Linked DNA regions of Oryctolagus cuniculus. The protein of the gene in region 1 interacts with the protein of each later gene in a pairwise test. Links are inferred from orthologs where the notes say so. Each region holds a gene or a part of one and is shown in the gene's direction. Other genes may lie near its edges. The genes, in order: SDCBP2, TNP1, ZCCHC17, LYAR, NPM2, ZRSR2 and ZCCHC10.

Region 1 (4,386 bases):
GGGCAGATCCTGGAGACCCTCGGGGCTCTCTCCGATGCCACTTATCAAAACTGCAAATAGAGATCTAGGGAACAAGCAGGTGCAGCCCGAGGCTACAGGCGACGACGACTCCTGGGTAAAAAAATAAATAAAAATCGATGTCAATAGGATGTCATGTCTTTATAAAGGAGAAATGAAGAAAATGAAAATAATTTATAATAAAAGAATATGTAAACGCTCACACTGGATTACTTCCGATCACGCTTGTATCTAATTTACCAGTGGGTTTGGATTTATTGGAAGACAATATGCAACTGAACTGCTCCAGGAGTTTATATTTGGCACCTTTTAAGAAAAAATTTATTTGAAACGCAGAGTGACAGAGAGCAGGACAGAGAGGGAGAGACATCTTGCCAACTGCTGGTTCACTCTCAAAATGCTGGCAACAGCCAGGACTGGAGCAGGCAGAAGCCAGGAGCCAGGAACTCCCTCCTAGTTTCCTACATGGGTGGCAAGGATCCACATACTTAGGTCATCATCCTTCTCAGGCACATTAGCAGGGAACCGGATTGGAAGCAGAGCAGCCAAGACGAATCAGGCACTCTGATGTGGGTTGTGGCACTCCCACCCATTTGACCTCTTGACTCAATGACTAAACATATTTGTTTGCAACTGTGGGGTCGCTGTGACATCTACAAATGCAGACAGACAAAGTGGTTAATCCCGATCCCGTACACTCCTAACAGGCCTGGAGCACAGCACATTATTCTCCCTGCACACCTGCTGGCTTGAGTAGCCAGGCCACGCTAGTGCATCTGAGTTTTGGGGCATGCAGGAAAGCATATAGTTCGTGATCTCCCTTTCCTTCCAGCTTGTCCCAGGTAGGCCCAGGATCTAGATTCTACAGCCCAGTGTCAGAGGATCATGATGCTATGGAGTTTCTTTTAAAGATTTATTTATTTATTTGAAAGAGTTACACAGAGAAGGAGAGGCAGAGAGATAGAGATAGACATCTTCCATCCGCTGGTTCACTCCCCAATTGGCTATAATGGCCAGAGCTGCGCCAATCTCAAGCCAGGAGCCAGGAGCCTCTTCCGGGTCTCCCACGCGGGTGCAGGGGCCTAAAGACTTGGGCCATCTTCTACTGCTTTCCCAGGCCATAGCAGAGAGCTGGATCTGAAGTGGAGCAGCTGGGACTTGAACCGGCGCCCATATGGGATGCCAGCACTGCAGACAGTGGCTTTACCCTCTACGCCACAGTGCCTGCCCTTACTATGGAATTTTGTGAGGGAAGGCCATAGGCTCAGGAACCACACAGACTGGCTCAAACCCCAGTGCCCTCCTTTCTAAAGCGGGGATAATAACACCTTTGGCTGTCTTTGTCCCGCCTGAGTGTAGCCTGGCACCCTCACCCCTCCTCATGCCCTGGACTCTGCAGGTGTCTCAGGGAGCAGCCATGTCCGCCCTGTATCCATCTCTGGAGGACCTGAAGGTGGACCAGGTCATCCAGGTAAGCCATCTGCTACAGGATGTGCGTGGATGGGGTTTGGCATGCTCCAGCCTGGAAGCCCCTCCCTCCCTCCATCCCACTGCCCTGTGGTCCCAGAGAGGGTTTGGCACCTTGAGACTTTGGAGCTCAGAACTTGGTTCAGAGATGGGCCTTGCTACCTGGGTTGTGATACCTGGGGAGTGTGGGCCCCAGGAGAACCCCCTCCCGGGGATGGGCACATCTGCAGAAGCCAGTCTCTGTGAGCTCTGAGGGCACGCAGGCCCCGCCCCAAGCTGTCCACACATGCATTGCCTGGACCCGCAGCTGACCGCACTGCCCGTGCTTCCGCAGGCCCAGTCCAGGATGCCTGCCTTGCTGCTCCCGGCGGCAGCCACCTCCACGTCTCCAGGTGAGTCTCATGCACCCCACAGCCTGTAAGACTCTCCCTGCCCCACCCCCACTGAATGCTCTGTAGATCCTGGAGGGTCCTGGGCACCGGGAGAGGCTTTGAGGCGCTGGGGAGGCCTTGGTCTGGGGCAGGGCGGTAGCAGCCCGAGGCCTTGGCCTCCCCTCCTCTGGCGGTTTCCAGGTGCTCATCTCTCACTCGCTACCCATGCACATGGCCTCGCATGCATTCCACCCTCACCAGAAGCCTTTAAGGGGACACCGGGAAAGCTGGCCTAGTGAGGACAAGGACTTTCTGATCAGAGGAGCCCTGTACCCTGGGGAGGTCCCAGGAGGTGCTCAGGTGGTCCTGATGCAGGTCCTGTGGTGGCAAACTTGAACTCAGGGCCTGCACTCGCCCTCCCACAGTGTGGTCTGTCTCCCCCACATTCTGGGGTGGGGGTACCCTTGGGTCAGACACCTGCCCCCTCCCAGCCACAGACTGTGGATGTCCTGAGGCCTCAGCGCCAGCACTATTCTTGGTGTCCCATGTCCAGTCACAGCTGAATGCCAAGGTGGTAACTGATGGACTTGGTGTCCCAGGCCAGCCCTGGACAAAGGCAGACGCCTGCCCTGCAGATCTTCAGAGGAGGCCACATCGCCAGCAAGTGCCCCTGGGGAATGAGTGCTCCCAGGGACCCGTGGCAGTCCTGGGAGGAAACAGCATCCTCACGCTCCATCTCTTCTAAAAATGCACGGCCACACGGGAGTGCGGCAGAAAGGGTCGTGGCCACACCCTCAAGTAACACCTCTCTGCTTCCTTGCTTCCCTCCCCAACCAGTTTTGTACCCAAACCTGGCGGAACTGGATAGTTACATGGGCCTTTCCCTCTCCAGCCAAGAGGTCCAGCAGAGCTTGTCTCCAAGCGCCGAGGGGAGCACGGTGCGTATCCGCCTCCTGCCTGTCTTCCTGGTCTTGCCACTCCGGCAGACCTCCTGTGTCCCTGTGTTTCTGTCTCCTCTTTCCCCCAGGATTCTTGGGGCTCTGTTTCTCAATGCACTTTCCATTGTGAGCCCTCATGAAAAGCAGCCTGGGGTTTCCATGGTTTCCTGTGGGGGCCTGCCCTTTGACCTCTGGCTTCAGGCTGCCAGATGGGATATAGAGCCCAAGCCTGGTGTCCCCCAGTGCAGGCTGCCTGTGACACAGGAGCAGCTGCGTGGACAGAAAGACCTGAGAGGGCAGGGGCTTGTCACCCACGATGTCATGTTTTATTTCTCCCTTTCTAGTCTGCATGCCCGCTGCCCCTTTTCCTCCTTACTGCGCGGGCTGGGTCTTCCAGTGCTATTTAAGAGTAGTCGGGAGAGTGGACACCCCCACCTCGCCCTGCCTCTTAAGGGGAAGTGGTCGATAAGTTTTTATACTTTTAGCTTAATTTTTTTATAACAAAAATAAAATTGAGTCCTTCTGTCCCCAATTGCACCTATTTGCTGTGAATTTATTTTCCATTTTAAGTGGTTTTAAACTTTTTTTTCCTGATCCCAATTTCCCTTGGAAATTAGTCCCCTTCCTGCATCCCGGTCCCTGGATGTGGACTTTGACGCCCCCTAGTGGCCCCACGAGGCCACGTTCCCCTGGGCTCCTGCGGAAAAGAGCTGCGGGGGCAGGACCACTCCACCTCCTTTCCCCATCCACACCCCTATCCGTGGTGACCCCGGTGGTAGGGGGCCCCCGAGGGCCGGGCTAACCCCTTTGCCCTCCTGTTGTCTGCAGGTAGCCGTCTCTGGCTCCTGGGCAGGCCAGGTAGTGGCACCCGTGTCCGGGAACAACCTGGGCGTCCGGCGTGCGGAGATCAAGCCTGGGGTGCGGGAGATTCACCTGTGCAAGAACGAGCAGGACAAGATTGGGCTGCAGCTGCGCGCCATCGACAAGGTAGGCGGCCCGGCGGAGCCCGAGAGCAGGCGGCACTCTGGCCCCCAGGGCTGCTCCCCAGTGCTGGCTGGAGGCAGGAACCCCACCCCTCCACCCCCTCCACCAGACCCTCCATGGGCCGTGATCGTCGGAGACCGCCTTCCTCCTGTGACCCTCCCTGCGATCCTCCATAGACTGTGGGAGCCAGGTGCCTCTGGGAGAGGCCGTGTGGCACAGTGGTTAGGGTGTGGCCTCTGGCCAGGTGTGAAATCCTGACTCCCCTCCTCCCAGCTGTGCAGTTGGGAGTGATTCCTCCTAGGAGCAGGGGACCATTGCACCTGCCGGGGAGCTGTGGTCCTGGTACCCAGTAAGCCCCAGGAGCACTCGGCGGAAAGCCACAGCTTGGAGGAGTGCTCTGAGCCCAGGTGGGACCAGGGACACTGACTCTGGGACCCTGCCTCTCCCAGGGGGTGTTTGTGCAGCTGGTTCAGGCCAACACCCCCGCGTCCCTCGTGGGGCTGCGCTTTGGGGACCAGATCCTGCAGATCAACGGGCAGGACTGCAGCGGGTGGAGCACAGACAAAGTCCACCGCGTGCTGAAGAAGGCGTTAGCCGAGAAGATCGTC
Region 2 (2,628 bases), on another chromosome or scaffold:
AGTTCTTGAATGAGGATAATGGCAGTGGAGAGAGAAGGGTCACAAAGAAGAAATCACTATTAACTTTTATTGAAATTTGTTCCAAAGAACTAAAACATGATTTATAAAAGTGAGAGGAGAAAAGGTTGGAATGACAAATCCTTTAACGCCACATACCAGTTATCATTCAGTTTCCCTACATGGATATCTCAAAAAAGCACTTTAAATTCAACATAGCATGTTTTAACCCAAATACATGCTTATCACCATCCCCATGCCTGGTCTTTATCCCCGGAGTGGCACCAGCATCCAGACAGCTATATTACACAGAAACAAAAGCTGTACCCTTAACACCATTTGCTCTCACCTTCCAAATCCAATCCATCACCAAGTCTTTGTCTTTTGTCTGCTTCTGTATTTCAATCAACACCTCTTCATCCAAGTCTAAGCCATTATCAGATCTTTCTCCCTATTGAACCACTGCTATTGACAATAGCCTCTCCCTTTATTCACTCGACTCCTCCAATAAATCAATAGCCCACCCACCAGCTGCCTGTCTCATTGTGCCAACCCTCTAACATTTTTCAAGGCTTCCCAGTGTACTTGAGCATGGTTTGGTCTCTGCCTCTCTTTTCAAACTCATCCCACACCACGCTGGGAGGTTCCCTCTGCCCCTCCTCCAGGCAAAATGAGCCTCTAAGTAATTCCTCACTGATATTTATGGATACTAGATTAATGGCATCTCATGAGTCTGAAAGTTCCATGAGCACAGGACTCACATGTGTCATTATCCACCATTGTTTTCTTAACACCTAAGCTCATGCTGCATCCTATCTAATCAATAAATATTTGTGGCTGAATTTTTTAATATAGTGAGGCCAGTGATTCTGAACCAGGCTGATGTTGCCCCCTGCCCCCACTCCCTCAGCCTCTCAAAGGAAAAACAGCGATATTTGGACATATTTTTGGTGATGGCATCTATGGAGGCTCTGCTGGCATCTAGTGAGTAGAGTCCAGGGAGGCCAGGGACGCTGCCAAAGGAGGACTCACCAAGAGTTATCCAGCCCATTGCGTCGGTGGTTCTTAGACTGAGAAACTTTTAGATGAAAGAGAAACAATATTTATGTTTTGATCATACTGAGTTGGATTTCCTAGAGTCAAGTGCTTGTTGCCTCCAGATGCTTTGAGACTTAAACATGTATGCATACACACATACTCAGTGGGTACTAAATTCCCTACAAGCAGGAGACATGTATTTTAGTGGTCTCTTGTATTCCTCAAATGCCTGGTATTGAGCCAAGATTTAATTGCTCATAACTACCTATCTGGAAAGCCTTACCTAACCTGAAAAACATCTCAAAATTGATGCCAACATTTGAGCTGCATGAAAGGGACCACTTTATTTCACATATATGACCAAAGAGTAACAAAGGCTAGTGACATCACAAAAGAGCACTGCCTACCTGCTAGGCCACGCCCCTTCACAGTCACAAAGGCCAAGGCCTTAAATACCCACACTCTCAGCTCCCGGGCCTTGCAAAGCCCCTCATTTTGGCAGAAATTACAATGTCGACCAGCCGCAAATTAAAGAGTCATGGCATGAGGAGGGGCAAGAACCGCTCTCCGCACAAAGGAGTCAAGAGAGGTGGCAGCAAAAGAAAATACCGGAAGGGCAGCCTGAAGAGTAGGAAAAGGAGCGATGATGGTGAGCGAGGGATGAGTAGGAAAGTAGTCAAACTTGGGAAGATGTTGCTCCCCAGGCCCTCACATCTGGAGGCAGCCTACATATGACCTTGAAATCTCAGCAGAGATCCTTTCCAATGATTAAAACCCTGCTTGGGCAAAAAAGTTTTGATGGGTGTTTTCTAATGGGTATCACTCTTGCAACCTGTCCTTCCCCCACAGCCAACCGCAATTACCGCTCCCACTTGTGAACTTACCAGCGGGCTCTGTCCTGGTGGGCTTCAAACAGCACCAGGCAGCAATGAGAGAACAACAGAAGGGGAACTGCCAAGGAGGCCTGAAGTTAGACCAAAGCCAGAGAAGAGCCTATCGAGTGTGGATAAAATGCCAATTGTGACAAAATGAGGAATGTATATGTTGGCTGTTTCTCCCCAACATCTCAATAAAATTTTGAAAACTAAACTGTTTCCTTTGATCTTTTGGTTGGAAAAACTTGGAATCCTGAGCAAGGCAGACTTGGGGAAGAATTGGCCCAAATGAAACCATTAAACATGACTTGGAAAATATCAAAGTAATTTGTCCTTACAACTCCTTCCCGTGGTGGCCCCATTCTGGCCATCTCCATATTTAGGTCTTTTTCCCAAGGCATGGACTCCCTCCCCAATATGGAAACAGAGTATAGGGAGAAATGAGTTCATCTGAGTGCCAAATATGAGCCAAAGGTCACAAGCTACTTTTGTCAAGGGACTTCTAGCATAAGGAGACACAAGCTGAAGTTGATTTGGCCCAAAAAACATTCAGTGGAGGCTCTCAAGTCATTGGGAAGCATTAGCAGGCTGTTAAGAATTGGGAGGTGTTCTGAACAGAAGGCAGCATGAACTTTGTAAGGAGAACACAATCATCCACAATCATCCTATTAGTAAAGTGGAAGTGATGAGGGCTTTATGCCTAGACTTCTACAGGTTT
Region 3 (3,711 bases), on another chromosome or scaffold:
AAAATCCAAGTCCGACATACCTGGTAATATCTTTGGGTGCATCTGTTCGGAGAGCCAGCAGTCAGTGTGTTTTTCATAACAGGCAAGAAGAGAGGCGGAGGCGGTCCTTCCAGGACTACACTGGGCAGAAGATCACCCTTGAGGCTGTTCTGAACACTACCTGCAAGAAGTGTGGCTGTAAAGGTAAGAGGAACCCTCTGCAATTTCCATCGTTCTGTCCTTGTAGATGGACCCTTTACTGAGTGAAGGAGACAGCCCAGTGTTCATTTAGCTCACCCTGTTTTTGAGCCAAATGATAACCTCACCTGCCTATGCTATTGTTTCTGCCAGACCTATATCTGAGTTCATGGCTTGATGCTTTTTCTGTTTACTTTTCTGAATACTGGCCCTGCTGGATTCTGTATCACCACTCCCTGCTCTGCAACTGATGTCTTCCCTGGGCAAAGTACTTTTATACAAGGCCAGGAGGGATCAGAGTATTGAATTATGATTAGTACTCTAAACTTTTTTATCTCCAAGGATGGTTACTATTATGCAAAAGTCAGGCAACTTGAAAGTAGGTTCCTTAAGGATCCAGGTTAAACCCTTTGTTTCTTAGCTTTATCTGTTTTACTTCAGAGTTCTGAAAACAGTATCCTTTTAGTAATGAAGAATAGAAGATAGTCACTTGTTTTTAGCTCTCTTTCCTCAGGTTTCCTCTAGTCTTACTCAAATATTAAAAAGCTCTTTCAGCCTGACTTCCTTTGTTGGAGCTATAGTGAGAAGGATTGCCAGCTTCTCATTTTCACAGTGCCCTCAATTTGTCACCCCTTGTCCCTAGCCTTCCTTCTATCCTGCTCTGTTGATTTTTCTACAACAGTAAGTAACAGACTTGTACCTTCATTAAGTTGTGGAGTTTAAAGCCCCTTTATGGCATTAACATAGAAGGTGAAAGGGAAAAACGGAATTGAAAGAGTACCTTCTCAGGGGAACTGTGAGAGCATTCTAGACATTTGGAAAACTTTTACTGTATCCCTTTCCAGGCAACATCCAGCTTATGGACCCAGAAGTGCGTTGCTATTTGATTATCTCGTATAATTCCTCTGAGCCCTGAGACAGGATGTGCCACAAGCACAAACAAAACCAGCTATGTAGAGCATAGCATCTCTTAAACGACCCCTTACTAGCATTGTAGGCTCAGGGAAGGTAGAGTCTCTTACCTTGTGTCCATGAGGCAGAGAATAATGAGAGGTGCATTTTGTCCTAGTCAATAAAAGGCAGTTGGTTTTACTACAGCAGAGCGCAGGGCAGGGAGGCATGATACCTGGGGTGAAGTACAGCTCGGCTGATCTCTCTGTAACCTTGAACTGCTTGTCAACTCTGGGCAATCATATCTCCTGTACATGCAGGATGTTGGATTCGAGGAACTCCAAGGGCCCTGCCAGACCTCACTGTCTGGATGTTCAGTGCCCTAGGTGACTGTGCCTCTCTGTGTGTTTGGATGTATGTGCCCACTTCCTGTCAGCTATCTTCCTTTATGACTTGGCCTGGCACTCTGCTCCATCTGCTAAGCACCCTGCTTTCTGGATAAGCCTTTGATTGTCAAGAATAAGTTTCAAAATTGATGTTTAAAATTTAATGGGCCCTAGTGCTAATGGAAGGCAGCACAAGCCTCATATCCTCTACCATTTTTTTTTTTTGGTTTGTAGAAATTTATTGATATTTCAAAGATGTTTCTTCTTCTATCCCATTCTCCCATTTCTAAGCATTTCTAAGGCAGCACTTGTGTCTCACAGCTGCAATCCCAGCTGCTAGTCTAGCTCTGAGGGAGGGAGTGGTGTGATTTGGAGGTGATGGATTATCTTCTGTGGTTCAAACAGCTGTCCTGAGTGAATTTACTAATATGTTCTGAACCAGTGAGCCCCTTTTACATATGTCTGGGATTGACTATTGACTATTGAGGGGAGAGACTATTTCCTTGCTTTCTACTTTGTTCTACTCTTCTGCAGGTCACTTTGCAAAAGATTGTTTCATGCAGCCAGGTGGGACCAGGTACTCTCTGATACCTGACGAGGAAGAGGAGAAGGAAGAGGCAAAGTCGGAAGAATTTGAGAAGCCTGACCCCACAAAGAATTCTTCTAGAAAAAGAAAGAAAGTGAGTGTCATCTTGCTTTTATTTATAATTTTTTAGAAAGTTTTATTGATTTATTTGAAGGCAGCATTACAGAGAGAGCTCTGCCCATACATATAAATGCAAAATTATGGTCATATAGGTATAGTTTATGCCCTACTGTTTTGGTTTTACTTAAAGGATTTTCTGTTTCCTCAAAAACTTGAGTTAAAAACAATTTAATCCACCCTATGGGTGTATGATTATTTAATTGCTGGATATTTTTTATGACTTTGAACTTGACTTTTTGGCTACAATCTCTTTTTGTTTACTTTGGATACATTTATTTGAAAGAAGTAAGATGGCTGAGTTCAAGATTTAAGCCTCACTAATGTATTGTACCAGATTGCTCTCGAGAAAGTACTTATCTGTCGCCCTAGTTGCAACACTGCCTGCCTGACTGAGTTCTGTCTCCTGTGTGTTAGTTAGAGCGGAGCAATTCATAAAACAGGCATATTTGCATAGTCACACAATAGATGTAGTGAACAATGCATCTGTGGCATGCAGTGCAGTGAGGAAATAAAAGAGCTGTGCTACAGTTTTTTTTTAAAGATTTGTTTATTTGAAATAGAGGCAGAGGCGGAGAGAGAGACAGAGAGAGAGGTGAGAGAGGTCTTCCATCCGCTGGTTCACTCCCCAGATGGCTGCAACAGCTGGAGCTGCGCCGATCTGACAGGAGCCAGTACCCTCCTCTAGGTCTCCTTCACGGGTGCAGGGATCCAAGGACATGAGCCATCTTCCACTGCTTTCCCAAGCCACAGCAGAGAGCGGAATCTGAAGTGGAACAGCTGGGACTTGAACCGACACCCGTATGGGATGCCGGCACAGCAGGTAGCGGCTTTACCTGCTACGCCACAGTGCCAGCTCCTGTGCTATAGTTTTGTCAGGAATTAGTTGTTTTTCTATCATGTGGGATTTTTCTGATTGTGGCCAGTTACTGAGTTTTGTTTTAAGTCTTTTACAAATTTTAATTGAGTGGTCCTTTTTTGCCAAGGGTTGCAAATCTAGGAATACAAAAACTATTATGAGATACTTGTCCTCAATGAGCATTATTTACAAATTAAAAAAAAGCTCAGTGTAGACAGATGGTAGATACAAAGCTCTGAAACGTACATTCCTAATGTTGTCTGGTGTGACTGCCATTCTCTTTCATCCCTCCTTGCTAAACACACATGTGCCCCTCTACCACAAATATAGTCACTAACATCAAAACCCTGCTTCTATCCTTATATCTTTTTTCCTAAAGATTTATTTGTTTGTTTGTTTATCTGAAAGAGTTACAGAGAAGGAGAGGCAGAGAGAGAGAGAGAGAATCTTCCATCCACTGGTTCACTCCCCAGATGGCCACAACTTTTGGAGCTGAGCCCATCTGAAGCCAGGAGCTTCTTCTGGCTTCTTCTTCCCATCTGATGTATGATTTTCAAGTATTTTCTCCTGTCCCATGGATTATGTATTAATCTTTTGATAATTAGTGTCCTTTATTTCCCCTCCAAATTTACATTTTTAAAAAACTGTAGCAAACAACATAAAATTTACTATCTTGACTATTTTTTAATTGTACA
Region 4 (4,209 bases), on another chromosome or scaffold:
ACCGGAAGCTGGGAAAAATTAGGAGTCGCCAAAAATAACGGACAGCAGCAGCCAATGAAAAGGGTGGTATCACAGCAGGGCACCCACCTCTGTGCCTCCGTGGCTGCGGGACGGGACGTACGGGAAGGGGCTGAGCAGGTACCTGGTGGCTAGTGAGGGGTCTGGGATGATACCCTAGACAGGCAGGTCACCCTGAGCCTCACAGAGCTGTTTTTGTGTTTGTATGTATGTTATCTGAAAGGGGGAGGGGAGGGGAGGGGAGGGGAAGGGAGGGGAGGGGAGGGGGAGGGGAGGGGGAGGGGGGGAGAGAACCGCCCATCTGCTGGGTCATTCCCCGAATGCCGCACAGCTAGGACTGGAGCAGGCTGAAGTCGGGGGCCAGGAGCTCGGTCCAGCAGTGGCTTGAGTCATCACCACTGGCTGTCAGGGCGTGCACTAGCAGGCAGCTGGGATGGACATCAGGGCAAGGACTGGTGCTAAGGCACGCAGGCACGGGACATGGGCAAACGCTGCCCCCCGCTGGCGCCAGCTGACACGGGAGGCCACTACGAGGACACGGAGTTCCATCCTGCAACACGGACTCACCGACTGACCACAGTGTGACGGGCTTCAGGGCCGCGGGAGTGAGCATGCCGGCTGAATTCCAGTGAGAGCAACACACACTCACAAGTACGCAGCCACAAGTCACGGCTAGACAGTGAGACACAGTGAGACAGACACAGGCCGGCGCCAGGAGCTCAGTCCAGCAGGGCATGACTTACAGAGGAGACGTGACAGCGAGGGAAGGTAGTGGGTGTGGGACGAGACTCCGGAGGTTAGAATGGCAGGCTGGACACTGAACTCCGCCCCGCCACCCTCCGCCTGCTCTGCGGTCCTTCTCGGTGAGCAGGTGCAGCAGAACCCGCTGGAATCTGGCTGGCGTGGCCCTCCTTCACCCCACCTTCAGCCCCCTCTCCCCACACACACCGGCCACAGCGGAACTCCCGGGCTCCCCAAACGCACCACATCCCTGGCTCATTAGTGAGGACCTGGGCAACGCCCTCTCCCTGCGGTGCCCGTCCTACCTCACAGGTTGCTGCGGCAACAGGGTAAACAGCTGGAATGGTATCTGGCACGTCTAAGTGCTCCGCAGGTGTCCTGAGAATTCCCTGGGAGCTCAGGAGTGCCGACTCCTGGCACCGGGCAGAGCTCTGTCCTGTGGTCCGGAGTGGGGCCAGGGCATCAGCACAAGCTTCCGGCTGCTCCTGGAGGTGACCCGCAGGCCTCCGCACCACACCGCCTCTCCTGGGAGTACTGCGTTCACACCGGACCGCCCCTTTCCAGCAGGGCTGGGCTGGCTGCCGTCTGCTTCTCTCACATCTGACCCTGGGATCGCCCATGCAGGCTCCCGTGAGGTAACGCGGTTCCCGCATTCGTGTCCAGTGCTGCTGCTCTGTGGCACCTCCTGATCTCTGCCTGGCACACAGCAGACCCTCAGCCTCTACAACCCACGCTCCCTGACCTCTGCTGGCTGATGAATACTGGCAGGTAACTTTTCACAAGCACTTAGGCCATTTTAAATCCTTCCCGTTACATCCCACCCAGCGGCCGCTCTGGCCCCTGCCCTCTCCTCCTCCTCACCCGTGACCCAGGAGTGCGTCTGCGTGTGGCCTGCTACACCCCGACAGCCACAAACCTCCCACTCACCGCCCCGTCACTGCCTTGGGCTTGGCAGGATGAAGTGTGCCTCCTCCTCTCCACGCAACCTTCCCATAATTCCCCTTTCAGGGCCTCACTCTGTCCCCCCCAGGTCCGTCCAACACAAATCTCACCCCCACCTTTCAAAACAGCAGTGTCCACCCCCCAGAATGACCCCGCCGTGCTCTGCAGACCCCTCCTCCCCAGCTCTCCTGCAGCGGCCACTCCTTCCTGAAGCTCCCCCTCCTCAGGACTCTTCCGGTTCCCTACACCCCGGATCTGTGCGGTCTGTGCCACGCCTCCTCTCCCGCTAGTCCGGAAAGCCTAGTGTTCCTGGGATGCAGCTCCTTGGCCTCTCCTCGGTTCTTGGACCATCACGTGCAGCCCGGGCTTCCGCCTGCGCAAGCAGACGGCTCTGAAACCGGAAACGTCACCTTCCACCACCAGTTCCAAATCTCCAGCCTTCTGCCGAACGTCTCCAGGGCTGCGGCCCCTCAACCTGGCGCCTCTGTGACGCGTGCCCCTCACCCCTCACGCCTCCTCTCACCCCCCCCTTCCTTACGGGAAGCACCGTTTCTGATGTGCAGAGCTGAGGGCAGGGTTACCACCTCCTGGTCTGGCATTTACAGAAAGCCCTGGGACGGGCAGCCTCGCCCAGACCAGCACTCAGAAAGGGAGGCTCGGTGCCACGTGGTGGGCACTGTCTCCAGTGCCGAATCCTTGGGGCAGTGAGGAGCCAAGCCAGTCATCAGTGAGCCGCCCCTGCCCCACTGGCAGCCGGACCAGAGAGGGCCTCTTGGTTTATAACTAGCTATCACGTACAAACCACGTACTGCAGAACTGTGTCTACTAACTCAAGCACTTGTAAAGGCTCAGCTATCACCATTTCCAGGTGAAGAAGCCGAGCAGTGGGGAGGCCAGGCAGCTGTTGGGGCCATAAAGCCCCCACGTGCCAAAGCTGGGCCTTGAACTCCGAGACCCGGGGGTCCCTGTTCTTACGCTTCACTGACTCCCGTGGGAAGACCTCGAACCACAAACCAATGTTAAATACAGCCACTATGCTGAACCTTCATTAGACATATCTAGCTCTACAGAAATAATAACGGAGACAATTCTTTGGACCAACTCCCGGAATTATGATATACAAAGTTATGAACCCTTCCACAATTCCTTTTCTAAAAAATTTTTTTTATTTAGTTAATTGAAAGGCAGAGCTACAGAGAATGAGAGAGAGGCAGAGACAGAGAGATCTTCCATCCGCTGGTTCACTCCCCACACGGCTGCAATGGTCAGGGCTGTGCCAGACTGAAGCCAGGAGCCAGGAGATTCTTCTGGGTCTCACTGGTAGGTGCAGGGGCCCAAGCACTTGGACCATCTTCCACTGCTTTTCCAGGCGCATTAGCAGGGAGCTGGGTCAAAAGTGGAGCAGCCGGGACTTGAACCAGTGCCCATATAGAAGGCCAGCACTGCAGGCAGAGGCGTAACCTACTACAACACAGCACCGGCCCCCACAACTTACTTTTTATTTTAAAAGATTATTTATTTATTTGAGAGGTAGAGTTACAGACAGTGAGAGGGACAGACAGAGAGAAAGGTCTTCCCTCCATTGTTTCACTCCCCAGATGGCCGCAACAGCCGGAGCTGCGCCGATCCAAAGCCAGGAGCTTCTCCCGGGGTCTCCCACGTGGGTGCAGGGGCCCAAGGGCTCGGGCAACCTTCCTCTGCTTTCCCAGGCCACGGCAGAGAGCTGGATTGCAAGAGGGGCAGCCGGGACTAGAACCGGCACCCATATGGGATGCCGGCACCGCAGGCAGAGGATTAACCTCCTGCGCACAGAGCCAGCCCCCAAAATTTACTTCTGAATTATAAATAACTAGAGTTCTCTAAATTACTTCCTGACGTCAGTCCGGTACTGTGGGGAGCAACCCGGACTAGACTAAGTTACTGGAATTAAGACTTATTCTATGCATCTGCTCTCCCACAATATGGCGCTGAGAAGGGGGGGAAACAGCTTCTACACAGCTGCCTCCAGTTCAACCAATAGACTGTGGGACCTGCTCCTGATTGGAGGAGAGCAGCGTACTCGGCGTGTGGGTAGCAGAGTTGGGATTGGTGGAAAAGGACTATGAAGGAGGAGAGAGACAACATGCACGAGGAACATCTGAAGGAACACCTGTGCAGCCCCCAAGATAGCCAGCCGGCGGTGTGCCGCTCCCCTGCAGAAGTGGGGAAAGTGGCCAGGGGGAACCGCCCTTCCACGGAGGTGGAAGGGACGGTAGCCAACCCGGGAAGAACCAGCAGCAAACCCGGGGAGGGCCGAGCAGACAAAAGAACAGCGCAGGGTCCTGTGTCGTTCCTCCACGAAGACGGGGAGCGACATAATGGTGCCGTGACTCGGACAGGAAACCTAGGAGGGAAGAAGAGGGAAGAAACGGGAAGAAGTGGGAAAATACCGGAGAGAGAGACTAGCAAAGAGCCTAGGGAAAAGCCGGACGGAAAAGGTGCCGGAAGAAGCTATCGAAAGCCTAGGCA
Region 5 (4,226 bases), on another chromosome or scaffold:
GCCCCCTCCCGCCCTCTCAGGCCTCTTAACAGCCAGGTGGGCACAGCCAGTCTCTGGCGAAGGGGAGGAGCCGTGATGGCTGAAGGTGGCCGTGCAGTAGGTGGGGAAGGCCTGGGAGGGGCCGAGCGGGGTCCAGGCCTCGGGGGACACCAGTGCCACTGGCACCACACTGGGCACACGCACCCGGATTTCCCTGAGCCTCGTGAAAGCCACGGCCCTGCAGGTGCTGGGAGGGGGCAAAGGGCACACACTTCAGTTCTCTCTCTCCCATGGGTACCGCTGTTTGCGTAGGGGTTTTATGATGTTGTTGTTGTTGTTGAAGATTTAACTGTGTGTTTGAAAGGCAGAGTTAGAGACAGATCCATCTTCCGTCCGCAGGCTCACTCCCCAAGGGGCCACAGTGGCCTGGGGCTGGCGCTGGCCCAAGCCATCCTCCCCTGCTCTCTCAGGTGCATTAGCAGGGAGCTGGCCCAGAAGCGGAGCAGCCGGGACTTGAACTGGCGCCCATACAGGTGGTGGCTTCATCTGTGCACCACGATGACAGCCCCTGTTCGGGGCTTTTTTTCCCCATATTCAACAAGGGTTAATTATCATTTGATTAATATAATCCTTGTGCCTCTTTTTAAAAAAAGATTTAATTATTTATTTATTTGAAGGGGAGGGTGATGACAGAGAGAGAGAGAGAGAGAGAGATCTTGCATCTGCTGGTTCACTCCCCACGTGTCTACAATAGCGGGTCTCCCACGTGGGTGGCAGGGGCCCAAGCACTTGTCCTACCTTCCTCTGCCTTCCAAGGCACATTAGCAAGGAAGCCAGACTGGAAATGAAGCAGCGGAAACTCAAATTAGCACCCCAGTGTGGGATGCCGGCGGTGTCCCTGGTGGCAGCTTAACTCGCTGCGCCAGGACCCCAGGGCCCCTTGTACATCTTTGGGGGGGGGGGGCACAAGGCGATGTTTGTGGGCGTGGGCAGTGCGCTGCTCCCATCAGGGTAACCAGCCTTTCCTCTACCAATTGTTTGCGTTTGGAGCCACTGAGAGCCCACTAAGCTATGCTACTCAGTTATCATGAAATCAGTAAGGGCTCCTGTTGCAAGGTAGTCGCCTAACTTCCTCCCTTTCTCTCACCGCTGCTGCTGGGGTGGGGGTGGGGGTGGAGGGGGCGCTAGGGATGCTCTGGACCCTGGGACATTTGTCATTTGTCATCCAGGAGTCTCTGATAAACCTTTGCCCCGGGGCAGGCGCTCTGGGGCGGGGAACAAGGCCTGCCCAGTGCCAGCTGCTGGTGGGTCCTTGGTGTCACTCGCGGAGAGTGGCCCAGGGCCTCGCCCCACAGCAGGCGCCCTTCTTGCCAGCCTAGCGCCCCCACCTGCCCGGCGCCATGAACCGCAGCAGCAGCAGCAGCACAGCTGAGAAGGCAGTGAGGACGCTGCTCTGGGGTGAGTGAGGACCCAGCTCGTTCTGCCCCGAGCAGAGGCGCCGGGGGCAGGGGAGGGGGGAGCGAGCCCCTCTGGAAGGACCCCCTGCTCTCCTCTGCCCTCTGTCCCACTCCTGAGCTCCCCTCTCCCGCGTAGGCTGTGAGCTCAATCAGGAGAAGCGAACTTGGACCTGGAAGCCCCAGGTGGAAGGGAAGGAGAGCTGCAGACTGTGGCTCAACACGGTGGGTGCCCCTCGCCCCCCACCCCACGGATGCAGCAGGCTGGATGCTGCGGCAGCCCCACGCCTCTGTTTGCAACGCAGATCTGCCTGGGGGAGAAAGCCAAGGAGGAGGTGAACCGGGTGGAGGTGCTGCCCGGAGCCGGCCAGGAGGACAGGAAGGCGTCGCCCGTTACCATTGCCTCCCTGCAGGCCTCTGTCCTGCCCATGGTGAGCCCCCGGAGCGCACGCGCCGGCGGGGGGGGGGGGGGTCTTCACAGACTACATCTTGAAAGTGTTCTTGTTTATATGAGAGACAGAGAGACGGAGAGAGATACGCAGACGGAGAGAGAGAGACAGAGAGAGAGAGAGAGAGAGAGACAGAGACGGAGGGAGAGAGAGAGACAGGCAGAGAGGCAGAGAGAGAGAGACAGAGACAGAGACGGAGGGAGACGGAGACGGAGAGAGAGAGAGAGACGGAGACGGAGAGAGAGAGACAGAGAGAGACGGAGGGAGACAGAGAGAGAGACGGAGGGAGAGAGACAGAGACAGACAGACAGAGAGATGGAGGGAGAGAGACAGAGAGAGAGAGAGACAGAGAGAGACAGAGACAGAGAGACAGAGAGAGACAGAGACAGAGAGATGGAGGGAGAGAGACAGAGAGATGGAGGGAGAGAGACAGAGAGATGGAGGGAGACAGAGAGAGACAGAGAGAGACAGAGAGAGAGAGAGACAGAGAGACAGAGAGAGACAGAGAGAGACAGAGAGAGACAGAGACAGAGACAGAGAGAGACAGAGACAGAGAGAGACAGAGAGAGACAGAGACAGAGAGAGACAGAGAGAGACAGAGACAGAGAGAGACAGAGAGACAGAGAGAGACAGAGAGAGACAGAGAGAGAGAGAGACAGAGAGAGACAGAGAGAGAGAGAGACAGAGAGAGACAGAGAGACAGAGACAGGGAGAGACAGAGAGACAGAGACAGGGAGAGACAGAGAGACAGAGACGGAGAGACAGAGAGAGACAGAGAGACAGAGACGGAGAGACAGAGAGACAGAGAGACAGACGGAGAGAGACAGAGAGACAGAGACAGAGACAGAGAGAGACAGAGACAGAGAGAGACGGAGAGAGAGAGAGACGGAGAGAGAGAGAGACGGAGAGAGAGAGAGAGACGGAGAGAGAGAGAGACGGAGAGAGAGAGAGACGGAGAGAGAGAGACGGAGAGAGAGAGATGGAGAGAGAGAGATGGAGAGAGAGAGAGAGAGACGGAGAGAGAGAGAGAGACGGAGAGAGAGAGAGAGACGGAGAGAGAGAGAGAGAGACGGAGAGAGAGAGAGAGAGACGGAGAGAGAGAGAGAGAGAGAGACGGAGAGAGAGAGAGAGAGAGAGACGGAGAGAGAGAGAGAGAGAGAGAGAGAGAGAGAGAGAGACGGAGAGAGAGAGAGAGAGACGGAGAGAGAGAGAGAGAGACGAGAGAGAGAGAGAGAGAGAGAGAGACGGAGAGAGAGAGAGAGAGAGAGAGACGGAGAGAGAGAGAGAGAAACAGAGACAGAGACGGAGAGAGAGAGAGAGAAACAGAGACAGAGACGGAGAGAGAGAAACAGAGACAGAGACGGAGAGAGAGAAACAGAGACAGAGACGGAGAGAGAGAGACGGAGAGAGAGAGACGGAGAGAGAGAGACGGAGAGAGAGACAGAGACAGAGAGAGAGTGCTCCCATCTGCTGGTTCACTCCCCACGACAAGGGTTGGGCCGGGCTGAAGCCGGGAACTCCAGCGGGGCCTCCCACGTGGGTGCCAGGCACCCAGTTACCCGAGCCACCACCTGCTGCTGCCAGGGTGCCCATGAGCAGGAGGCTGGAGTCAGGGGTGGCACCGGGTACGGAAGCCCAGCACCCCACATGGGGTGCAGGCAATGCCCCAGGTCTCTTCCTAACCTCTGGACCGAACACCTGGACCCGGAATTGCGTTTTTAAACTTCTCTGATGGTGCCAGGGACGCTGTTGATGATTTAAATGGCGGTTGTGTATTCGGGGAACGTCTCTTGTTTCTAACTGGTTTTCTTGGGTCTCCTAAGCAAATAATCACTGAGAGTGAGGGCAGGTTTGGGTTTCAGTCTGTGTGTGTGTGTGTGTGTGTGCACGTGTTTCGCCAAGGGGGCTGGGCCGCCGGGAGCAATGCCGGTTGGGTGTGATGGAGGCGACACTTCTTCCTGGTCCGTTACCAAGGCTTTCTGCTCTGCGTGGAGTGTTCACCCTTCTAGACCCACTGTGCCTTTATTTATTTATTTATTTATTTATTTATTTATTTATTTTTGACAGGCAGAGTGGACAGTGAGAGAGAGACAGAGAGAAAGGTCTTCCTTTGCCGTTGGTTCACCCTCCAATGGCCGGCATGCTGCAGCCGGTGCACTGTGCTGATCCAAAGCAGGAGCCAGGTGCTTCTCCTGGTCTCCCATGGGGTGCAGGGCCCAAGCACCTGGGCCATCCTCCACTGCACTCCCTGGCCACAGCAGAGAGCTGGCCTGGAAGAGGGGCAACCGGGACAGAATCCGGCGCCCCGACTGGGACTAGAACCTGGTGTGCAGGTGCCGCTAGG
Region 6 (3,711 bases), on another chromosome or scaffold:
ATTTGATATGAAGTAGGGAAATAAATTTTGTTTTCCTGCTTACTTGAAATACTTGTTTTCAATCATATACATGCATCTTTGTGTTTTTTTTATCTTTGTTTATTCTTCTGAGTGTTACATACTATATTTGTTTTCTTGTACTATAATAAAATAACCAAACCTAGGTACTTTCTTTTAAAGATTGATTTGTTTATTTGAAAGAGTTACACAGAGAGAGAAGGAGAGGCAGAGAGAGAGAGGTCTTCCATCCGCTGGTTCACTCTCCAATTTGCTGCAATAGCTGGAGCTGTGCCAATCCGAAGCCAGGAGCCAGGAGCTGCTTCTGGGTCTCCCACGCGGGTGCAGGGGTCTAAGGACTTGGGCCATCTTCCATTGCTTTCCCAGGCCACTGCAGAGAGCCGGATTGGAAGTGGAGCAGTTGGGTCTCGAACTGACAACCATATGGGATACTGGCACTGCAGGCAGCGGCTTTACCTGCTACACCACAGCGCCGGCCTCCTAGGAACTTTATAAATAAAAGAGTTTTATTTTGCACACAGCTTTAGAGGCTGAAAGTCCAAGATCAGGAGGCCCCATTGGTTGGGCCTCATGGTACATGGCATCACAAGTGCGTGTGGAAGAGATCACATGGTGAGATAGAAAGCTAGAGACCAGGGAGGAGCCAGTTTTTTTCTCTTCATAACAAACCATTCTCATGTGAGCTAATGCACTCTGTGAGACTGCCATTAATCTCTTCAGAGGCTGATGGTTCCCAATGATTTAAGCAACCTTTCAGTGGGCCCTCTGTACCTCTTAAAAGTTCCATCACCGGAGGTGAGGAGGGGAGGTGGCATTGTGGCGTAGTGGGCAAAGCCGATGCCTGCAATGCTGGCATCCCATATGGGTGCCAGTTCATGTCTCAGCTGCTCCACTTCCAATCCAGCTCCCTGCTAATGTGTCTGGGAAGGCAGTGGAGGACAGCTCAAGTGCTTGGGACCCTGCTACCCACATGGAAGAACTGGAAGAAGCTCTTGGCTTCAGCTTGGCTGAGCCTGGGCCGTTGTGGCCATCTGGGGAGTTAACCAGCAGATGAAAGATCTTTTTCTGTTTCAGCCCTCCCCCCTCACTCTTTGAAATAAATAAATCTTTTAAACAAAAATTCCACTGCCTTTCTATACTGCCACATTGGGGACCTCTCTCACTTCCAAACCATAGCACATACTACATTATTGCTAAAAAACAAGAAAATTAATTGTATGAAAATACTGTATGGCTTTATGGCCTATTTGAAAGCAGAAGCACAGTTATCTTAAAATTATTAGATGTTAAAGTTTTTAACATTTATTTTTTCGTGGTTTTAAATTTAGGTACTGGTTCAGGTGTTTGGCATAGGTTTTAAGACACCAGTTGGAATACTTGCAGCCCACATTTCAGGGCCTGGGTTTCAGTCCCAGCTCCTTTACAATTCCAGCTTTTTGCTGTGGTGCAGCTTGGGAGGCAGCAAGTGATGGTTCAAGTGGTTGGGTCCCTACCACCCACATGGGAGACCTGAGGTACATTCTTGGCTCCTGGCCCCAGGTGCTCCAAGCATTTGGGGAGTGAACCAGTGGATGGGATCTCTCTCTCTCTCTCTCTGCCTATATCTTTATGTCTTTCAGTAAATAAAATAATTTTTAAAAGTTCATATTCCATTTGTTTCAGTTACCTACAATTAAAGTGTTCTGCACAACTGAAACATCTGTGTTGTATCCTACAATATGCATAGGAACATTGATGTATACATACCAGCCTCTACCATGACTAACAGGTGTGTTCCTGGAGTCTGTAGTTGAAAATGGAGCAGCAGGTGCTGTGGCATAGAAGGTTAAGCCTCCTCCTCCAGTGTCCACATCCCATACAGGTGCCAGTTCCAGTCCCAGCTGCTCCACTTCCAATCCAGCTCCCTGTTAATGTGCCTGGGAAAGCAGCAGAAGATGGCTCAAGTACTTGGGCCCCACAGCCACATGGGAGATCCAGAAGAAGCTCCTGGCTTCCCTGGCCCAGCCCTGGCCATTGTAGCCATTTGGGGAGTGAACCAGTAGATGGAAGATCACTCTTTCTCTGTCTCTCTGCCTGTGGCTCTCCTTCTCTGTAACTCTAACTTTCAAATAAATAAATAAATAAATCTTTAATAAATAAATAATAAATAAAAGAAAATGGAATATATTTTCCCATAGGATATTTATTTAAAATTGTAGTTAGGTCCCCAGGCTAGACATCAAACCTTATTTAACTTCTGATGTGGCTGAAGTAATATAGAACGATTTCTTGTATTTCATTTCCCTTTTATAAATTCACTTGGAAAGAAATCTAGGTCCTAAACACCCTATTATCAAATAAACTTCGGAAATATAACCCCCTTTTAAGTTTTAAAGAAATTTTTGTTTCATTTTATTTGAGAGACAGAGATCAGAATCTATCCACTGATTCACTCCTGAAATGTGTGCAACACCAGGGACTGGGCCAGGCCAAAGCCAGGAGCCCAGAACTCAATCTGGGTCTTCTACCTGGGTAGCAGGTACCCAAGTACTTGAGTGATCATTGCTGTCTCTCAGGGCATGCATTAGCAGCCAGGCACTCGATACAGGATGGGGCATCCCAAGTGGTAGCTTAACTCACTGTGCCAAACCCTCTCTCCATAACCATCCTCCCTTAAATTAGAAACTTGTGATACTGCATGTTGAGACACTTGCCACTTTAAGATAACATCATTCTTTATAATTGGTCATTTAAAAAAATAGTGCTTGCTAATTTATAACTTCTTTCATCTATTCTAAAAATCTAAAGCTTGATTTTAAAGACTTCAATTGTGCTGTTTAAGTGTTTGTAGTCAAATGACAGGACTCTTAACTGTTTAGAGTAGTAGTCCAAAGGTTTATGGCAAAAGATGCCAGGTTTTCTTAGTGCTGCAATCAAAATGTATAGGTTAGGAGGAATAATGTGTTCTGAATGAGAAAAGTGAGATATTGCTTTGAAACTTGCTACCATTTTACTGGCACCTAATCATTACAATGATTGGCCTACAGGGGAAGTTGTAGTGTCATATAAAAGAGATCACAGCCAGAGCACCTATGAAATTAGAATAGTGACTTAAGTTATCACTCTAGGAAGAGAGTTGGCTGACACTGTACTTTTCCAAAAGCTTTATTCATATCGTCTGGTTCTCTACCCCCACTTGACTGCTGTATAGAAAATATCATTCATGATATTTCCATCATTCCCAAAACATGTCATTTTGCTATCAAATGTGTATATGTGTATGTATTTGTAAATTAATGCCCATTTCTCTTTTTTGATTACATCGTTGTAATGATAGGCAGAAGTTACATGAGGAGTGGTTGCTGAGGGAGCAGAAGGCACAAGAAGAATTCAGGATAAAGAAGGAGAAGGAAGAGGCAAATAGAAAACGGCAAGAAGAGCAAGAGGTACAGTATCAATTAAATAACCAGTTAACTAACTAGTACAGTATCAATTAAATAACTGGTTAACTAATTAGTACAGTATCAATTAAAAAAACCAGTTAACTAATTAGCTAGCTACTCAAAATAGTTCTCCGTAAGAGTTGCATTTCTTGAACTTTAAAAAGATCCAATGTTATCCATTTTACTTGTTTTTAATTTTTTCATTTATTTGCCCTATATGTTAAATGTTTTAAAAAAAGTGAGCCTGAAAAGAAATAAACTTGCCTTTCTC
Region 7 (4,260 bases), on another chromosome or scaffold:
ACAGAGACAGCCAGCCAAAGGGTAAACCTAGCCACTGGTTCACTCTAAATGCATCATAATACAGTAGAGGACATCATATTGCAAGACCAAGTAAGCACGGCAAAGAGAACTCACTTTCATAACGAAACTACTCTTTCAATAACCAAATTAATCCATTAATCTGAAAATAGATTCATTTATTCATGAGGGCAGAATCTCCGTTACCTAATCACCTACCAAATATTACTGATATATGACTTTAGGGATTAAATTTCTTTTTTTTTTTTTTTTCAGATTTATTTCTTTATTTGAAGGTCAGGGAGGCAGAAGAGACAGAGACATCTATCTGTCAGATCATTCCCTAAGTGTTTGCACCAGGCCAGGGCAGAGCTAGACAGAGGCCAGGAGCCTCCTGCCAAGAGCTGCCTCCTCTGTGGGTGCAGGGGCCCTGGCATGTGGGCCATCTTCTGCTGCTTTCCCAGGCACATTAGCAGGAAGCTGGATCAGAAGTGGAGCAGGTGGGACCTGAATCTGTGCAGATATGGGATGACGGCATTGCAGGCGGATGCTTTATTTGACACACCACAGCTCTGGCCCTGGTGGTTAAATTTGTAACACATGAATTATCGGGGGAAAACACCCTAATCATAGCAGATTTTGTTTATTATCTGTAGAAAGTTCCATGTGCCCAAGGGTCTAAACTTGAACAACACAGCATCTCAAGCTCCTAAACACTTTACTAAATAATTATTAATTGAAAAATACAAATGGGTGACCTAGAAACAGACAAGAATATATACAGCAGGATTTCAGAAAAGTTGGTGGGAAATGTACATTTTTCTTTTAATGCCATTTTCACTAACTTTTTGGAGTAATTATACATATGAAGAGTGTATATATATATATATATATATATATAGAAAAGATTGTGGACTTGGGAGAACATTTCCATGAGTCGATACTACAAATAGGTATAGCTACAATTTTCTAAAGTAATATTTGCGATGGTCTTTTTCTGGTTGCCAAAGCAGCTTTGGTCCTTATAACATTGCTGTGAATATATTAAACAATGAACAGTTAACACCATTTTCACTTGAGGATGTGCTAAACCCATTCTCTCGGATCCAGGGCCCGCTCACTATTTTATTCTCCAGACTTCTGCTTTCCGGTACACAGTAGTTTCATTCAGTATCTCTGCGTGTGGGGGATACCTATACACACGAATCTTAAAAATACATACTTTTCCTTTTCGGGAATGTGCTTCCCCGTCACCGTCCTTGCAAACCTCGCTCAGCCCCATGGACGGACCCACAGCGGCGTCCGCACGCACCCGCCTCCGGCCCTCGGCCTCCTCAGAGAGGCCGCCCGCAGGCCCCGCCCAGAAGCCGCCCGGAGGCCCCGCCCACGCCGCGGCCGCCGGGTCCAAGTCCACGCCCCCTGCGAGGAGTTTCCCAAAACTCAGCGCGGCAGGCCTCGGCCGCGCTAAGATGGCGACTCCCATGCATCGGCTCATAGCCCGGAGACAAGCGTAAGTGGGGGCCCTCTCGGGCTCCCGGACGGGCTGGGGGCGGGGAGACGCGCGTCAGCCGGCGGCTGAGCCGGCGCAGGGGTGCGCGGCTGGGCGTCGGACCCCCTCCGAGGAGCGGCCGAGGATGGCTGTTGCTCAGACACATTGCCAGCGTCCGCGGGGCTCGGCCCGGGCGATAAGTTTGGTGACCAGAGACTTGCGGGGTCGTGGAACAAGAAGGCAGCACGCGGGGGTTGGTCACTCCGTGGGTTAGGCCGTTCTGCCCGCACGGCGCGTGGGCAAGGGAAGCCGGGTCGGACCCCTCCGCTCCCGCGGAGGTAAACTGCAGCTCCCTCGGCAGCCTCCCGGCCAGCTGTCTTTCGCTGCCCCCTTCCCATCGCCGTCCCTGGACTCAACCAGCAGCTACTTCTCAGTTACTGCCGGTCTCTCCCTGAGTAAATATGTAGTCCCTGGGCTCGGCGCCAGAGCTTGGGCATAACGAAGAGGTGTTTCATTCCGATGGAGCCCCTGCTTCGGGAGCTCACGCTCCGGTGATGGGGACGGTCTCTAGTTTGGTCAGCTTTGACGGACACGAGGTTTGGTGGTGGAAAGAGGCGACATTTGATCAGAGATGGCCATGGGGAGAAAGCAGCCGGTCCTGAGACGATGTGTGGAAAGAACATCCAGACAGTGGCAAAACTGCTTGGAGGCCAGAAAGAATTTACTTCTCAAGAGCAGAAAGATGGCCAGTGTGCCTAAGGAGCTAGCAGGACAGCGGCGCCAGAGGTTTGCCGTGAGCCGACAATGCAGGGGTCATCTCGGAGGCCCTTTTCCTGCAAAACCTTCTTTCCTACCAACACATCTGCTACTTCTTCATTCTCAGTGTTTCACACCATCATCGTTTTGCACACCTATAGTGCATAGCTCAGAGTCCATTAACGTATATATGTTTATGTTTTTTATGTTTCTCCCTTTTCAGGCCCGATGAGAGTTCCCTGAATATGATAAAGACTCAGGGAGTCAGAGTAGTCAGCTTGGTGGTGAAAGGAGGCTCAGTGCTAACTGATGTCATTAGGTCTCCGTCTCTGCCTCTCTGCTTCTGCCTCTGTTGCTCAGGTTTGCTTTCCTGGATGTTGGCTCCAGACTGGAACAGACTCTGTTTTCTTCCTAATGCAGTATGCCAGGGTCCCTTATATCCTCTCAGCTTGGAGCTGGCTGCACTTCAGTGACCTGACTGCCTTGGCACACCTGTGGGATTTTGAAGTTACAATTGACTCAGAGGTCTCCTCTCCCAGCCTAGTGGAATGGATGACCATGAATGGATGATCTGGGTGGACGGGTCAAAGGTAGATGAATGCTGACTAATCAAAATCCGTAGTAGTGCTCATTCACAAGTATCAGAAAGTTAAATGTTTTCTTTGTATAGTGTGTGTGTTTGGTCCATGAGGTACATTGGAAGTAAAAGGCAGATCAGAGCTCGAGCAGCTTGTGGTCTTGTTGGGAAGAGGTATAATATAAGTTGTTGTGGTGTACAGATTGTAATACCCCCAGGGATTCAGGAAAGGAAGATTATTTTGAGGTTAGGGACGTGCAAAAGAATTTTAGGGATGTATTTGGGGGAGAGGAGAGGAGTCTTTGCTTTTCATTTTATTTTCATATTATGTTAGTCAAAAAATGTTAATTTTGTTTATAAGGAGCATATATGACTTTTATAATAATATGTTTAAAATTGTATTTAAGTTATGAGAACTGAGAAAGGTCTGTTGTCATTCTTTTTTTTTTTTTTTTCCTTTAAAGATTTATTTATTTGAAAGGCAGAGAGATCTTGGGGGAGACAGAGAGAGAGGTCTTCTGTCCTCTGGTTCACTCCCCAAGAGGCCACAATACCTGGAGCTGGGCCTATCCAAAGCCAGGAGCCAGGAGCTTCTTGAAGAACCAGGTCTCTGATGTGGGTGCAGGGTGCTAAGCACTTGAGCCATCCTCTACTTCAGAAGAGCAGCCAGGACACAAACCGGTGCCCATGTGGGATGCCAGCATCACAGGTGGAGGCTTATTTTGAAAGCATAAATTAGCAATCTATATGAAAGATGAATTTTTTAAAAAGATTTATTTTTATTTGTTTGAAATACAGAGTTACAGAGAGAGGTAGAGATGAAGAGAGAGAGAGTCTTTGATCTGCTGGTTCACTCTCCAAATGGCTGCATTGGCTGGAGCTGAGCCGATCCGAAGCCAGGAGCCAGGAGCCTCCTCTGGGTCTCCCACAAGGGTGCAGAGATCCAAGGACTTGGGCCATCTTCCACTGCTTTCCCAAGGCCATAGCAGAGAGCTGGATCAGAAGCGTAGCAGCCAGGACTAGAACCGGTGCCCATATGGGATGCTGGTGCTTGAGGCCGGGGCTTTAACCCACTGCACCACAGCACCAGCCCCGAAAGATTAATTTTTTTTTTAAGACATTAATTTGTTTATTTGAAAGGCAGAATTAGAGAGAGGAATCTTCCATCTTCTGATTAACTTCCCAGATGGCTGTAAAAGCTGGGCCATGCTAAAGCCAGGAGCTAAAAACTTTCAAGTCTGGCCATGTTGGTGGTAGGAGCCCAGCTACTTGGACCACCTTCCACTGCTTTTTTGGTCGCATTAGCAGGGAGCTGAATTGGAAGTGAGCAACTGGGGCTCAAACCAAAACTCATCTGAGATGCCCACATCACAGGTGGTGGCTTAACATGCTACATCACAAAACTGGCCCCAAAATTAGTATTTTAGAGGTAGTTTATTAG

Evidence for each region.
Region 2: the proteins of SDCBP2 (region 1) and TNP1 interact in binary tests that used the Homo sapiens proteins (3 or more experiments, as listed by UniProt). The two-hybrid records come from large-scale screens. The link is inferred for Oryctolagus cuniculus from reciprocal best matches to the Homo sapiens genes SDCBP2 and TNP1.
Region 3: the proteins of SDCBP2 (region 1) and ZCCHC17 interact in binary tests that used the Homo sapiens proteins (3 or more experiments, as listed by UniProt). The two-hybrid records come from large-scale screens. The link is inferred for Oryctolagus cuniculus from reciprocal best matches to the Homo sapiens genes SDCBP2 and ZCCHC17.
Region 4: the proteins of SDCBP2 (region 1) and LYAR interact in binary tests that used the Homo sapiens proteins (3 or more experiments, as listed by UniProt). The two-hybrid records come from large-scale screens. The link is inferred for Oryctolagus cuniculus from reciprocal best matches to the Homo sapiens genes SDCBP2 and LYAR.
Region 5: the proteins of SDCBP2 (region 1) and NPM2 interact in binary tests that used the Homo sapiens proteins (3 or more experiments, as listed by UniProt). The two-hybrid records come from large-scale screens. The link is inferred for Oryctolagus cuniculus from reciprocal best matches to the Homo sapiens genes SDCBP2 and NPM2.
Region 6: the proteins of SDCBP2 (region 1) and ZRSR2 interact in binary tests that used the Homo sapiens proteins (3 or more experiments, as listed by UniProt). The two-hybrid records come from large-scale screens. The link is inferred for Oryctolagus cuniculus from reciprocal best matches to the Homo sapiens genes SDCBP2 and ZRSR2.
Region 7: the proteins of SDCBP2 (region 1) and ZCCHC10 interact in binary tests that used the Homo sapiens proteins (3 or more experiments, as listed by UniProt). The two-hybrid records come from large-scale screens. The link is inferred for Oryctolagus cuniculus from reciprocal best matches to the Homo sapiens genes SDCBP2 and ZCCHC10.

The regions. Positions count from the first base shown.
Region 1 is NC_091442.1:27,249,152-27,253,537, reverse strand, and holds the start of SDCBP2 (syntenin-2), read left to right. Parts: upstream 1-1,392; 5' UTR 1,393-1,399; coding exon 1,400-1,489; intron 1,490-1,819; coding exon 1,820-1,877; intron 1,878-2,693; coding exon 2,694-2,794; intron 2,795-3,622; coding exon 3,623-3,781; intron 3,782-4,227; coding exon 4,228-4,386.
Region 2 is NC_091434.1:22,432,516-22,435,143, forward strand, and holds TNP1 (spermatid nuclear transition protein 1), read left to right. Parts: upstream 1-1,497; 5' UTR 1,498-1,545; coding exon 1,546-1,684; intron 1,685-1,884; coding exon 1,885-1,913; 3' UTR 1,914-2,124; downstream 2,125-2,628. UniProt on the Homo sapiens protein: Plays a key role in the replacement of histones to protamine in the elongating spermatids of mammals.
Region 3 is NC_091438.1:141,023,889-141,027,599, reverse strand, and holds part of ZCCHC17 (zinc finger CCHC domain-containing protein 17), read left to right. Parts: intron 1-82; coding exon 83-183; intron 184-1,988; coding exon 1,989-2,134; intron 2,135-3,711.
Region 4 is NC_091433.1:4,827,842-4,832,050, forward strand, and holds the start of LYAR (cell growth-regulating nucleolar protein), read left to right. Parts: upstream 1-1,381; 5' UTR 1,382-1,527; intron 1,528-4,209. UniProt on the Homo sapiens protein: Plays a role in the maintenance of the appropriate processing of 47S/45S pre-rRNA to 32S/30S pre-rRNAs and their subsequent processing to produce 18S and 28S rRNAs. Also acts at the level of transcription regulation.
Region 5 is NC_091439.1:1,260,809-1,265,034, reverse strand, and holds the start of NPM2 (nucleoplasmin-2), read left to right. Parts: upstream 1-1,359; 5' UTR 1,360-1,379; coding exon 1,380-1,437; intron 1,438-1,572; coding exon 1,573-1,658; intron 1,659-1,738; coding exon 1,739-1,864; intron 1,865-4,226. UniProt on the Homo sapiens protein: Core histones chaperone involved in chromatin reprogramming, specially during fertilization and early embryonic development. Probably involved in sperm DNA decondensation during fertilization.
Region 6 is NC_091453.1:1,939,920-1,943,630, forward strand, and holds part of ZRSR2 (U2 small nuclear ribonucleoprotein auxiliary factor 35 kDa subunit-related protein 2), read left to right. Parts: intron 1-3,334; coding exon 3,335-3,443; intron 3,444-3,711. UniProt on the Homo sapiens protein: Pre-mRNA-binding protein required for splicing of both U2- and U12-type introns. Selectively interacts with the 3'-splice site of U2- and U12-type pre-mRNAs and promotes different steps in U2 and U12 intron splicing.
Region 7 is NC_091437.1:21,523,435-21,527,694, reverse strand, and holds the start of ZCCHC10 (zinc finger CCHC domain-containing protein 10), read left to right. Parts: upstream 1-1,274; 5' UTR 1,275-1,277; coding exon 1,278-1,507; intron 1,508-4,260.